3 linked regions of the Cricetulus griseus genome follow. The protein of the gene in region 3 interacts with the protein of the main gene of each other region in a biochemical or structural test. Links are inferred from orthologs where the notes say so. Each region holds a gene or a part of one and is shown on either strand. Other genes may lie near its edges.

What was found.
Region 1: the proteins of Rhoa (region 3) and Pkn2 form a complex in vitro, tested with the Homo sapiens proteins (2 studies listed by BioGRID, with this or other methods). The link is inferred for Cricetulus griseus from reciprocal best matches to the Homo sapiens genes RHOA and PKN2.
Region 2: the proteins of Rhoa (region 3) and Diaph1 form a complex in vitro, tested with the Homo sapiens proteins (2 studies listed by BioGRID and IntAct, with this or other methods). The link is inferred for Cricetulus griseus from reciprocal best matches to the Homo sapiens genes RHOA and DIAPH1.

Annotation. Positions count from the first base shown.
Region 1 is NW_023276806.1:16,327,679-16,331,327, reverse strand, and holds part of Pkn2 (serine/threonine-protein kinase N2), read right to left. Parts: intron 2,716-3,649; coding exon 2,572-2,715; intron 2,257-2,571; coding exon 2,181-2,256; intron 1,515-2,180; coding exon 1,340-1,514; intron 1,120-1,339; coding exon 993-1,119; intron 530-992; coding exon 405-529; intron 327-404; coding exon 251-326; intron 175-250; coding exon 83-174; intron 1-82. UniProt on the Homo sapiens protein: PKC-related serine/threonine-protein kinase and Rho/Rac effector protein that participates in specific signal transduction responses in the cell.
Region 2 is NC_048595.1:199,706,946-199,710,694, forward strand, and holds the start of Diaph1 (protein diaphanous homolog 1), read left to right. Parts: upstream 1-1,377; coding exon 1,378-1,494; intron 1,495-3,749. UniProt on the Homo sapiens protein: Actin nucleation and elongation factor required for the assembly of F-actin structures, such as actin cables and stress fibers. Binds to the barbed end of the actin filament and slows down actin polymerization and depolymerization.
Region 3 is NC_048597.1:216,485,465-216,489,158, reverse strand, and holds the start of Rhoa (transforming protein RhoA), read right to left. Parts: upstream 2,818-3,694; 5' UTR 2,676-2,817; intron 2,281-2,675; exon of another isoform or gene 2,143-2,280; intron 1-2,142. Other genes in the region: Tcta (T-cell leukemia translocation-altered gene protein), read left to right, coding at 3,290-3,512. UniProt on the Homo sapiens protein: Small GTPase which cycles between an active GTP-bound and an inactive GDP-bound state.

The sequences.
Region 1 (3,649 bases), on a different chromosome or scaffold from region 3:
AGGATCTCACATTTATTGTTGTTCACTCTATCTCTCACCTCAAAAAAAAAAAAAAAAAAAACTTTCATTTTACAAAACTGACCTGTCTACTTCGTCTCGAGCCACAATGTCTCCCTTCTTTAAGGCTTTTATAGCAAACATTTCATTTGTGTGCTTATATTCAGCCAACAGCACCTGAAATAAGATTAAAATAATTAATTTTCATTTGACTTACCAATCTTGTATGTACTCCTAAATTTTCATGGATTACCTTTCCAAAATGTCCTCTTCCCAGCACAGCACAGCACCTGAAGTCTTGCAGATTGAACTGAAACCTTGGTTGAGATCTAAAATAGTAATAATTAAAAGTGAGGCAACTACAGAAGAACTACATCAGCAAGGCAATGCACCTGCTTGTGCCTTACCTTTGTTCCTCTCGGACACTCCAACAACTTTGACCTGAGTCAGGAATGTCAAGCTCATATTCAGATTTGGATTTTGGACGCATGTTACTTCTGTCATTCTCAATATCAAAAACAGTTTTTGAACTCTGTAAAATATCAAGTGCTCATAAGCTAGAGGAATCTCCAGCAAAACAAACAAACATTATTTCATAATCATAAAGTTTAAGAAACAATTCCAAAAGCATTAGAGAAGAAGTTTCAGACTTGGTTAGTTGTTCTTATAGAAAAAACAAAACCATGAAAAAAACAACATATTATCTTCCAATTTATGCAGCTTATTGCATCCCCTTTGGCCTGTGAGAATACAGAGGCTAGTAACAGTGTTCCAACATGAAGAAAGTGGCCAACTCCCATCAACTTCATCTCCTTGAGAAAATTTACTCATAAAAAACCAAACAACCCCCCACTCAAAACAACAATAACAACAACCAAAACAAAACACTAAACTCAGAGTTCATATTGGCAATTTTAATTGAAATGTACACTTTTGTCACTACGATGCTGATACTGTTAAGAAGGCATTGCAGAAGGAAGGGTTAGAATACTTGCCTGTCCAGGTATATCCAAAACTCTCACTTCGGAAGACTCATCTATCTCTCCAAGGGAAGACGCACGTGGTGGGGCTGGAGGAGGTTCAGGTTCAAGATCAAAGTCCAATTTGGTTACTGTAGAATCACTTTCAGAAGACAAAGCAATTTACCAAAACAGCAATCAAAGTCTTTATTTTTAAGTAGCTGCAAAATAAAAGCAAACTAACTTCTTTTAAACAAGTAGTGCAGTATTTTCACAATTCTACTTGGAAAAGACTGGGACTTCATATAGCAGCTGCTGTAATCATGTTATGGTGTCACGGTAATGGCCGTGTAAGACATACTTAAGCCTTCTAAGACATATACCTGGCTGGAGGTGCTAGTTCAGAGATGCGTGCATCAACCACGGGTACTGTAGCAGGCACAGGAGTCTGAGGGCTGAATGTGCCAGAATGATTTACTGTGGGAATAGCTCGTCTCACTAGCCTTCCCCACGTGGCAATATTAATATTCATTTGAGGAGCTCTGAGAAATGTTTTGCCTGTAGATAAAGTGAATAACGAAAGCAAGATATGTAATTCCTTTATATATTACCAAAAGCCATAATTTAAAAAAAACCCATATTCATCAGTTTATAATTTATGAACAAATAAATTTTGTAATTTAAAAACTAGTTCTCTAGTTCTCAGCTTTTGTTTTTTTATTAAAAGTTAGCATAAATATCTCAAATAATTTTAAAAAGCAGATAAAGTTTGGATTTTTTTTGTAACTCTAGAAGTTTGGTGTCATTAGTTTAAGGCATCTATGGTAATGAACAACAGGACTCAGTGATATCTGAGTTTGCTTCAAATAAGCTCAGAAAGCAGCGAGTGGGTGGGAAATGAGGACAATCGTGTGTTATTATTACTGAAACTCAGTGATGAAGCCAGGCATGGTGGTGCATGCCTATAATCCAAGCACTTGAGAGACAAAGGCAGTGAGACCATGTTTAGATCAGACAGCATAATTCGAGGTCACACAGGCTACTAGATGGTCTCAAAACCAAATAAAACAAAACAAAGAAATGGAGTAATGGATTCTATTATTAAGGTTATATTTAAAAACTACTTAAAAATGTTAGAAATGGACACTAAAAAGAAAATGCCATTCCTTTTAGAATGACAGCTAGATTTTCTATAAAAGGCTGCATTATATTCTTAGTAATTACCTTGCTGTTTTGAAAAAATTTTCTTTTGTCTTTGGAGTTTTGGTCTTCTTTCAATAACTGGATTAAAAAAGGTAACCTGTAGTGAAGAAAACCCTAGTTGACATGAAAACTGTAAGGATTATGTTTTGTGCAATCTACTAGACTCCTAAGTTTGAGAACTTAAGGGGTATATTATCTATAACTTACTCCAACCCCTTCATTTTGCAGACGAGAACACAGACCTAGAGAGGACAAAGGATTGTTCTCAAGGTCACACCCCTAATGTGCAGCAGAGTGGCAGAGTTGAAGGCATTCATCTTTTGACATAACACTCTTGCCCCTTCCACAGCATGCTGCTGACACACACAATTTCTACTACAGTTATGCGCATTAAATAAAATACATTTATTACCTCTGCAAACAAAGTACCCTGTGGTTCCAAATAGAGACACATGCCATGCCGCTGGTTGTCTAAAAAATCTTCTAACCTCAGAAATTTTACAGCACACAGAGATCGCCAATCACGCCAATAAACTGAAATTTCCAGTTCACGTGACTAAGATAATCAAAAAAAAAAACAAAACAAACAAACAGAAAAGACATCATTGGACACACACTTGAATAAAATATCACAAAATATATGAAATACAAATACAGTAAACAAAGTACACACCCAAATCACACTTTAAATAAAACTGTAATTTTTTCAATTATATATCACTTTTATCAAACTTACAAATTTTAACTTAAACTTATATTCAGATAATCTCTGCTAATGCATTCCTAAAGTTCAAGGCCAGAACACACACTGAGAACAATCAATAACCAGAGAAACTTCACACCCCCTTAGAACTGCAGTCTAAGTTCAGGTTTCTCTTCTCCAAATACTGTTGACTGCTGTCCTGCTGCTAGAATGCTCCAGTGACTCCCTCAGAAACTCATGTCAACACCCATTTCTTTCACCCACTACAGGGCCAGAGAAGGTCTGGAATGGCTTCCCTTCTGCACTCATGTGTGCCGGACACTATAAGAACATCAGGTCATTGACTTTTCAAAAGATTACCACAAGGCAGTAAGGCTGGTGACCACAGCACTCACTCTGTGTCAAGTGTTAGGAAGGTGGGGTTCCTTAATCGCACAGTAACCCATGCTTCCTATAGAAAAATGTTCATTTGCTATCATCTAAAAAAGACATATAAAAAATTAGTAATGACTTGAATATCCAGACCATAAGAACAAGTAAAGTATATATGATTTCACATCCACATAAGAGAGTACACTGTGGTCGTTAAAAATAATGTTTACATATAAAAACATACTTAAGGTTTTGACAACTTACTACTAAATATACCTTAGACAATAGTTTGTATTTTGGGATCAAGTCATGAACTGATTTTTGAAATATAATTTATGCACATTTTAATTGGAAAGTGCCAGTTTTGTTTTTAGGAATTATGCAGATTACCCACAATAAGATACAAATGTATTTC
Region 2 (3,749 bases), on a different chromosome or scaffold from region 3:
TCAGCCAAAAGCCTGGAGATTTAAATGAAAGACAAGATGTCTAGTCGTTTGTGCTAAGAGAATGTGTGTGTGTGTCTCTTTATTACAGGGAGGGAACAGCCTTATATACAGATGTACAGCACAGTGGAAGAACCCAAGGTGTAAGAGCTCATGTTTTCCCAGGTGTGGTTGATGCCAGTAGGGCAAGGCCAGGACTAGAAAACAGGATGTACCTGTGGTTATTGGCTGACAAGCAACTCACAGAGACCCCATGGGGGCTGGGGCCCAACACTCGGGAATATACACTTGAAATCCTTTTCTTTACTCTTAAGGGGTAGTCAGTCCCTCTCTAAAGATGCCATGTCAGGTAGATATAGCCAGGAGAATGAGAGAGATCATGTAAAGACCATAACCAGAGAACTCATGCAGGCACGTTTGGTTTATGCCTGTGGGGGAATCTTGGTTAAAAATATGGTGTGGCTGTCAGATTAATCTGTGTGTAAATTTTCTATCAATTATGTTACAAGTCACTTCAATGTCCAGAGTGCAAATTTCTTAAATGGTGATACCAGTAGAGTCTATCATGAAATTGTGAGGAATCAGTGAGGAAAGATGTTATGTTTAACATATAACCTGTCCTATAGTTTGTGCTGGGTATGTAGTAACTATTTAATTGCTGCTTAGGCTATTGGCAATAATTAGTCTGTCTACATAAACAACTAGAAAGCTAATCTAGGATTCAATGCTGAGTATTGTAACTCCATAGCTGGTCTAGATTGGCGCTGGCTTGAACTCAGTTCTTGGCACATAGTTTCTATATCAAGTAACTCATTTTTTACATTATTTTTTAATGCACTTACTGCTTGGTGTCATATACATACAAGTTGCATTATCCCACAAAACTTAGCCTTAAATTTTCAACCAAAATAACAGTGTTCCTACGATAAGAGTCTTGGTTCAGACAATGAAATTCGGCCTGGGGTGTGAGGTGGTCTAGCTCTGCGTGGGAGCCCAAAGGCTTCCTCTGTTCCAACCGCCAGGGGGCAGCACTCCCCGCTGCGGTGTGGAAGAGCAGCACCGCCCACTCTCCGTCCCCCCCTCCACGTGGGTCCGAATGGTTAGGCCCGCCGGGCAGGTAGCGCGCTTCCGCGGCGTCCCTCCACCCCCCTCCCCTGCCCCATTGGTAGGGGCTGCGGGTCCGGGCGGAAGTGGGGCAGGCGGGCGGGAGCGAGGCGTCACCGTTGTATATTCATGAGGCGCGCGCAGCCCAGCATGTTAATGAGGCGGGGCGCGGCGGCCGGCTAAGAAGGCTGCTGGGCGGCGGCGGTGGTTGCTGGCTCGGGCTAGCCGGGCGCGAGTGGCGTAGACCAGGGGTCCCTGGCCGGAGCTAACCAGAACATGGAGCCGTCCGGCGGGGGCCTGGGGCCCGGCCGCGGGACCCGGGACAAGAAGAAGGGTCGGAGCCCGGATGAGCTGCCCGCGACGGGCGGCGACGGCGGCAAACCCAAGAAATTTGTGAGTGTCCCTCCCACCCTGCTCCTCAGCCTGGCGGGGTGGCCGCCCTCTGAACTCGGGCGACCCTCGCTGCCCTCCGGGGGCGTCTGCCTGCCGCTGGGGAGCCGCCCCCGCGCCTCTCTTCCTGGTTTCGCTGAATCCTGGGCTTCGCGGTCCCACATTCTCCTCCTCCCGGACCTCGGGAAGCCCGGGAGTCCCACCTGGCCCTCGCCTCGGCCACCTTGGAGCTTCCCTCGCTCTGGAGTCCGCCGGCTCTGCGCTCCCGCCCCCGTGGCCCGCGGGCTCGCAGCCTCACTTCCTTTCTTCTGCCTCTAGTACCCCCACACATCTTTTTTTTTTTCTCTAAATTTCTTTTCTTTTTTTTTTTTTCTTTTTGATTCCCTGTAAGCTGTTTTGGGTCCATTTTCTCTTCTCACTCACACCCCGTTTGGGTTATTCCCTTTCTTCTAAAAGGTCATTTCCTTCCTTACTAGTGATCCCTTTCACCTGCTAACTTTCCTCCCGCCCTGTCCCCTTCCAGGGCTCTCAGCCCGGTGTCACCTGGTAATGCTTCCCCGCAGGAATGTTACCTGACTTGAGTCCTGTCTTCCCTCCTCCTTTGGACGTTTGTCCTTGTGATTACGGGTTCTGCCCAGGTCCTGTGGTCACTGGGGCATGGCAGTATATGACTTCCCAGTATTTCCCTATCCACAAACCTGTTTCTTACTGCCCTGTTGCTTATCACTTCAGAGGTTTAGAACTTTTTTTCACGATACTATGCCCTTCATGACCCGAGATGATGATTAATCTCCCTCTTGAACGAGTTAGACTTCAAGTCCAATAAGTTTGTGAGTAATTTGCTTTTTATACTTTTAAAAAATAACAACCATCTCCTTAACTCGCCTTTGGCCATCTTCTGTGTCTCTAGGTTCCTGACATCCCCTTTCCTATCTGTAGGAGAGTATGTATCTTTCCTTAGGTGCCGGTTATTGGGACTTTCGAGGTTCATGTAACGCGGTATTTTACTACCTGTTGCCTTTCCTAACTAAATCCTCTTCTGTCTCCAGGGAGCTACTTTGCTTCTTCCTGTAAAAACTTTGAAAGATACTGAGCAGTCAAAAAGGGAGTTTCTGCTCAGTTGTTGCCAGTTAATAACTAGATACTTAGTTTGCTCTTCCAGGTAGCACCAGTAATCTCTGAAGCTAAATGGCTTGAATTCTTCTTAACTCTTGCTTTCTTTCACGCACCCCCACCCCCAGCATTCTGATCCAAGTCCCCGAGTTTGGGAATTAAACTGATGAAGTGATGGAAGTGGGAAGAATATGTTTTGTGACCTGGAGGGTTGAATTAAAAGAGTGACTGACTCATCTCTTCCTATTTCTGGCAAGACCAGGTGCTCCTGTTCTGTCCTTTCTAGTGACATACAGGGTGTCAGTAACTGTTTGATCTGGCAAATACCTTTGTAGAAATAGGATCCTAGGTGACCACAGCAATATATCCTTAGGTTCTTTCTTTAAAGGTAGGAATTGACCCTCCAGTTTGAGAACTTTCCTTCCAAAATGTAAGTTTTAGGGCCTGTATTCTATTTCCGTGTCTTTTTGTTTTGATTTTGTTACCATGGATACTGTTTGACCTTCGTCCATACTGGCTATTTTTGCTGATTTGTAGTGACCTCTTATTACTGTTTCTTTTTAAAGTTTCATGTGTGCTTTTTTATTTTTTCTAATACCGTGTCTCATAAAATTGGTGAAATCTACTGGTGTGTGTGGTTAGGTGAGAAATCCCAGGAACCTCAACTTCTTTCCACCTGTTTTTTTGGCACAGTTTTGTGTTCGCTGAGTGGATTTGGCCCAGAGTTGTTGATAATTTGCTTTATAGAGGGTGGAGCTGAACCTACTTCTCTTTTACTGAGGTTCTGGTTTTAACCCTTACATTACTGAATTTTAAGAACTGGGTATTGCAAGTAGTGAGGATTGGAAGGTTTCCAGGGAAGCAGGCTTCTTCACATCCTAATTGCTAAATATAATCTACCTTAAGGCATCAGGATATTCTTACTGCTTTTTATGAGAACTATGAAAATGAGAGACAAGGAGCATTGCAATCCACTTCTCTTTGTCTCTGTATATATAAGTGTGTGTGAGTGGGTGGAGTGGGTGAGATTGCTGGGGTGCTTTTGTCACCCAGGGCTCAGTTTTCTTGAACTACTGGCTAAGACCAATCTCAAAACTATTTCGCCTACTCCACCTTTTCTTAAGTGTGGTATCCGCCAGAACTCC
Region 3 (3,694 bases):
GAACTTTTTTTTTGAGACAGGATTTTGTTATATAGCCCAGGCGGGCCTCAAATTAACAATCCTACCTCCTGGAGTACTGCAATTATAGGTTTCTCACCTCACCTACTTCCAGTTTTTAAATTCAGCATTTGTACACAGCATGCCATCATTGCTAGCAGTTATAACGCCATGGAACCAAATGTACTGTCTACAGAACCCACTAATCTCAAGTCAGTCTTGCAACAAGGTTAGCCAATCTCTCAAGGTTAACCTCCTCCTCCTCCTACTTCCACCCCACCCCATGGACTAAGAAACACCTGAACATTTTACTCTTCTAAAAATTTACACCGCTAATAGAGAGGATGGGCTGTTAAAAGGATTAATGATGAACAAAGAATAAGGACTATGAAAACACTCCAACAAAACCATTCTCACACACTGCACAGACCACTGCTTATGTATGTGATTTGTGCATTCTCACCAGTTCAAGTTAAAATCTAGTCAAAGGGGCTATAGTAGCCTGAAGACATTCTAGGGGGACCTCATTATGTTGTCTTTGTTAACAGTCAACTCCCAGAGGCTGGGTCCTCAAGAAAATCAACAAACTCAAAGACAAGGCTAAGCCAGAAAAGGGCTATGTACAAAAACTAGAAATTTAGACGGGCATTGGTGGCGCTCGCCTTTAACCCCAGCACTCAGGAGGCAGAGGCAGGCGGATCTCTGTGAGTTCGAGACCAGCCTGGTCTACAAGAGCTAGTTCCAGGACAGCCTCCAAAGCCACAGAGAAACCCTGTCTCCAAAAACCAAAAAAACCCCAAAAAACTAGAAATTTGTTTGGCAAGTGAACTGACCAGATTCTCCCTAAATACGCACAATCTGCAAGGTGAAGAACAGCAAGAGAGTAATCAGGAACCCTGATTTTAGCCGAGAGTACACGGAGGACTTTTTTTTTCAGATAGAAAAGTAGTTTTAGTCTAACTAGACATATGACCTTCAAAATTTTTAACGCTCACCAGGAACGGTGGTACACATCCCAGCACTATTCAGAAGGCAGAAGCAGGACAGCTAGATCTACAAATCAAGTTCCAGCGCTCAAGTCAGACTCTGTGTCCATTTCTCTTAAGTAGTAGGCAGGGGTCTCTCCCACTGTTCTCTCTGCAGAGTGCTAATAAACCTTTCTCTTGAAAAAAGTCCCTGAACTCAGTCTCCACGCCTACAAATGGAGTCAGCCTATAAATCCTTTAAATCTTTTCCAGTCTATATGGGGGAAAGTTGGCAGATTTTCCTTCTCCAGGAGATTTCTGGGTAGCGGCATTGTAAGTTGAACACTTGACTTTTGACTCAGTTAGTTATAGGGCTGGAATAAAGCTCAGAGATATAGCACCTGCTCACTATGCCCCAAGCCCTGAGTTTAATTTCAAGCACCAAAGAGAAAAAAAAAATAAAATAGAAAACACAAGCTCTCTATATATTTTATGCCCCTAAGAAACACCTAAGTAGACAAATTCTCACAATAGTTCTGAGAGCCTTCAATAGTAAGACCTAGCCTTGTATTTTAAGTTAACAAGGATACTTGTGTTAAATGTTCCAGACAGTATCACTACCAAGATAACCATGTGGATGGTGAGAAACCATCCACACGGTACATTCACACTTGGACATGTGACACTTAATGGCTGAAAATTCTCACCACATACTACATTGAGTTTCCCATCCCTCCAGGTTTGCCAGAGGAATATAATCTGGTTATATATAACCTGCAAAACAACACTTATTTCAAAAGAATGTCAGAAGACAGAAAGAACCATATGAATAACCAACAGAGGTTAAAATTCTTAGTGAGGACTATTAGAAAATACAAGTAGAACCAATTGTGGGACAAAAAAAAAAAGATGCCAATTTCCCACTTTATGCTACTAAACAAATCAAAAAAACAAAAACAAACAAAAAATATTTGGGTGCAAAAAGTACAATTTCAAGAAAACGACCTGAAAAGGGAACCCATCTGTAAGTGATTCCTAATTAAAGCAGTAACTTTAAGTAGAAATGCATCTATATCGATGCAACCTCTCCAAATTATTTTTACAATGTTTTTTCAACTGGAAAATACCTTCCCCCCATACAGTCTTCACCGCTAAGATTTCAAAACAATCATTTACTTACACAATCTCTAAGAATACGGCATTGAAAACAGAAAATCCACCCAAAGCCTCACTGTCTTCACCCGGTATAAAACGGTGATTAATGATCCACATTCAATGTAAAAGGCAAAATGGAGTTGTAAAAGAGTTTCTTGCCTATTCCAACTCCCGACACCACGCGCGCTTCACAGTGGCAGACTCCCCCAGCGCGGTCGCGGGCCGGCCGGGAGCCCCCGCCCAGCCCGGCGCAGCCCTGAGAGGAAGCGACGGGGAGGGCGGGCGGCTAGGGCTCCACCAGGCCCGGCCGGGCGGGGGAAGGGGGACTGGAGGCGGCGGGGCGCGCTTCGGGGACTGCGCGGGGCGGGCGGGGCCGCCGCCTCGGGCGCGGGGCCCCGGTCAGGGGGGGCCAGGGCTGCCGGCCGAGAGCAGCAGGTGGGGCGCGCCCGCGACTGGGGGACGGCGGGTGCCGGAAAGTGCCGGGCGGGCGGGCGGCGGCGGCGGCCGGCCGGCCGGGCCCCCGGAGCCGAGGCGGCTGGAGGGAATGCTTCTGCTCACCTCAAGGCGACCACTCCAAGTCCGGCCTCTTCGCGCCGAGGACGCCTGTCCGCGAGTCCGCAAGCTCGGAGACGAGGACCGGCAGCTCCGCGGAAGACGGCGGACTCAGCAGAGAACCGACGGAGGACCGCGGGCGGCGGGCGGCGGGCGGGGAGCGCGAGCGAACGAGGGCGGGCGGTGGCGGGAGGGCGGGGAGCGACGTGCGCGCCCCCGAGCGCCCTGCGGGCTCGAGCTGGCGCCAGTCGCGGCCCCGCGCACGCGCGCACTCTCGCAGTTCGTCCACGATTGCTCAAGAGCGCAACCACGCCCTAAAAGCAAGACGCTTAACCAATCATTGCGGCCGCGTGGAGCATCACGGGAACTCCGGGGCTATAAAAGACCAAGTTGCTATTTTATACTCACCGATTCACTCATCCTTTAAGTAGCAGGGCGGGGATGGGTGCGCCTGCGCGGTTTTAAAGCCCTGCCCCAAACTGCCAACACTTCGCGCAAGCGAAGTAGATCGTCTTTGCCCGACATTACGCGTGCGCACCTACTTCTCTAACCCCGGAAGACCGTGCGCTTGCGCAGTGAGAACTACGGTGACAGTACACCCGGTGGGGCGCTGGCCAGTCATGGCGGAACCTTGGTCTGGGCAGTTTTTGCAAGCTCTGCCCGCGTCGGTGCTCGGAGCGCTGGGCACCCTGGGCAGCGAATTCCTGCGGGAGTGGGAGACACAAGACATGCGAGTGACTCTCTTCAAGCTGCTCCTGCTGTGGTTGGTGTTAAGTCTCCTGGGCATCCAGCTGGCGTGGGGGTTCTACGGGAACACAGTGACCGGGTTGTATCACCGTCCAGGTGAGGCTCCCTACGAACCTCCTTGGCCTGGCTGCCCCTACCACCACCAAGCTATACCACTTGTTTCTCCTGTGTCCGCGTAGACTGCCACTGGTCTCCCAGAAGCCTCGTTGCACCCAGACTTACACCCCCATACCATCTTACATCAGAATCCCCACCTGTCCATAATCACGTTGTAACGG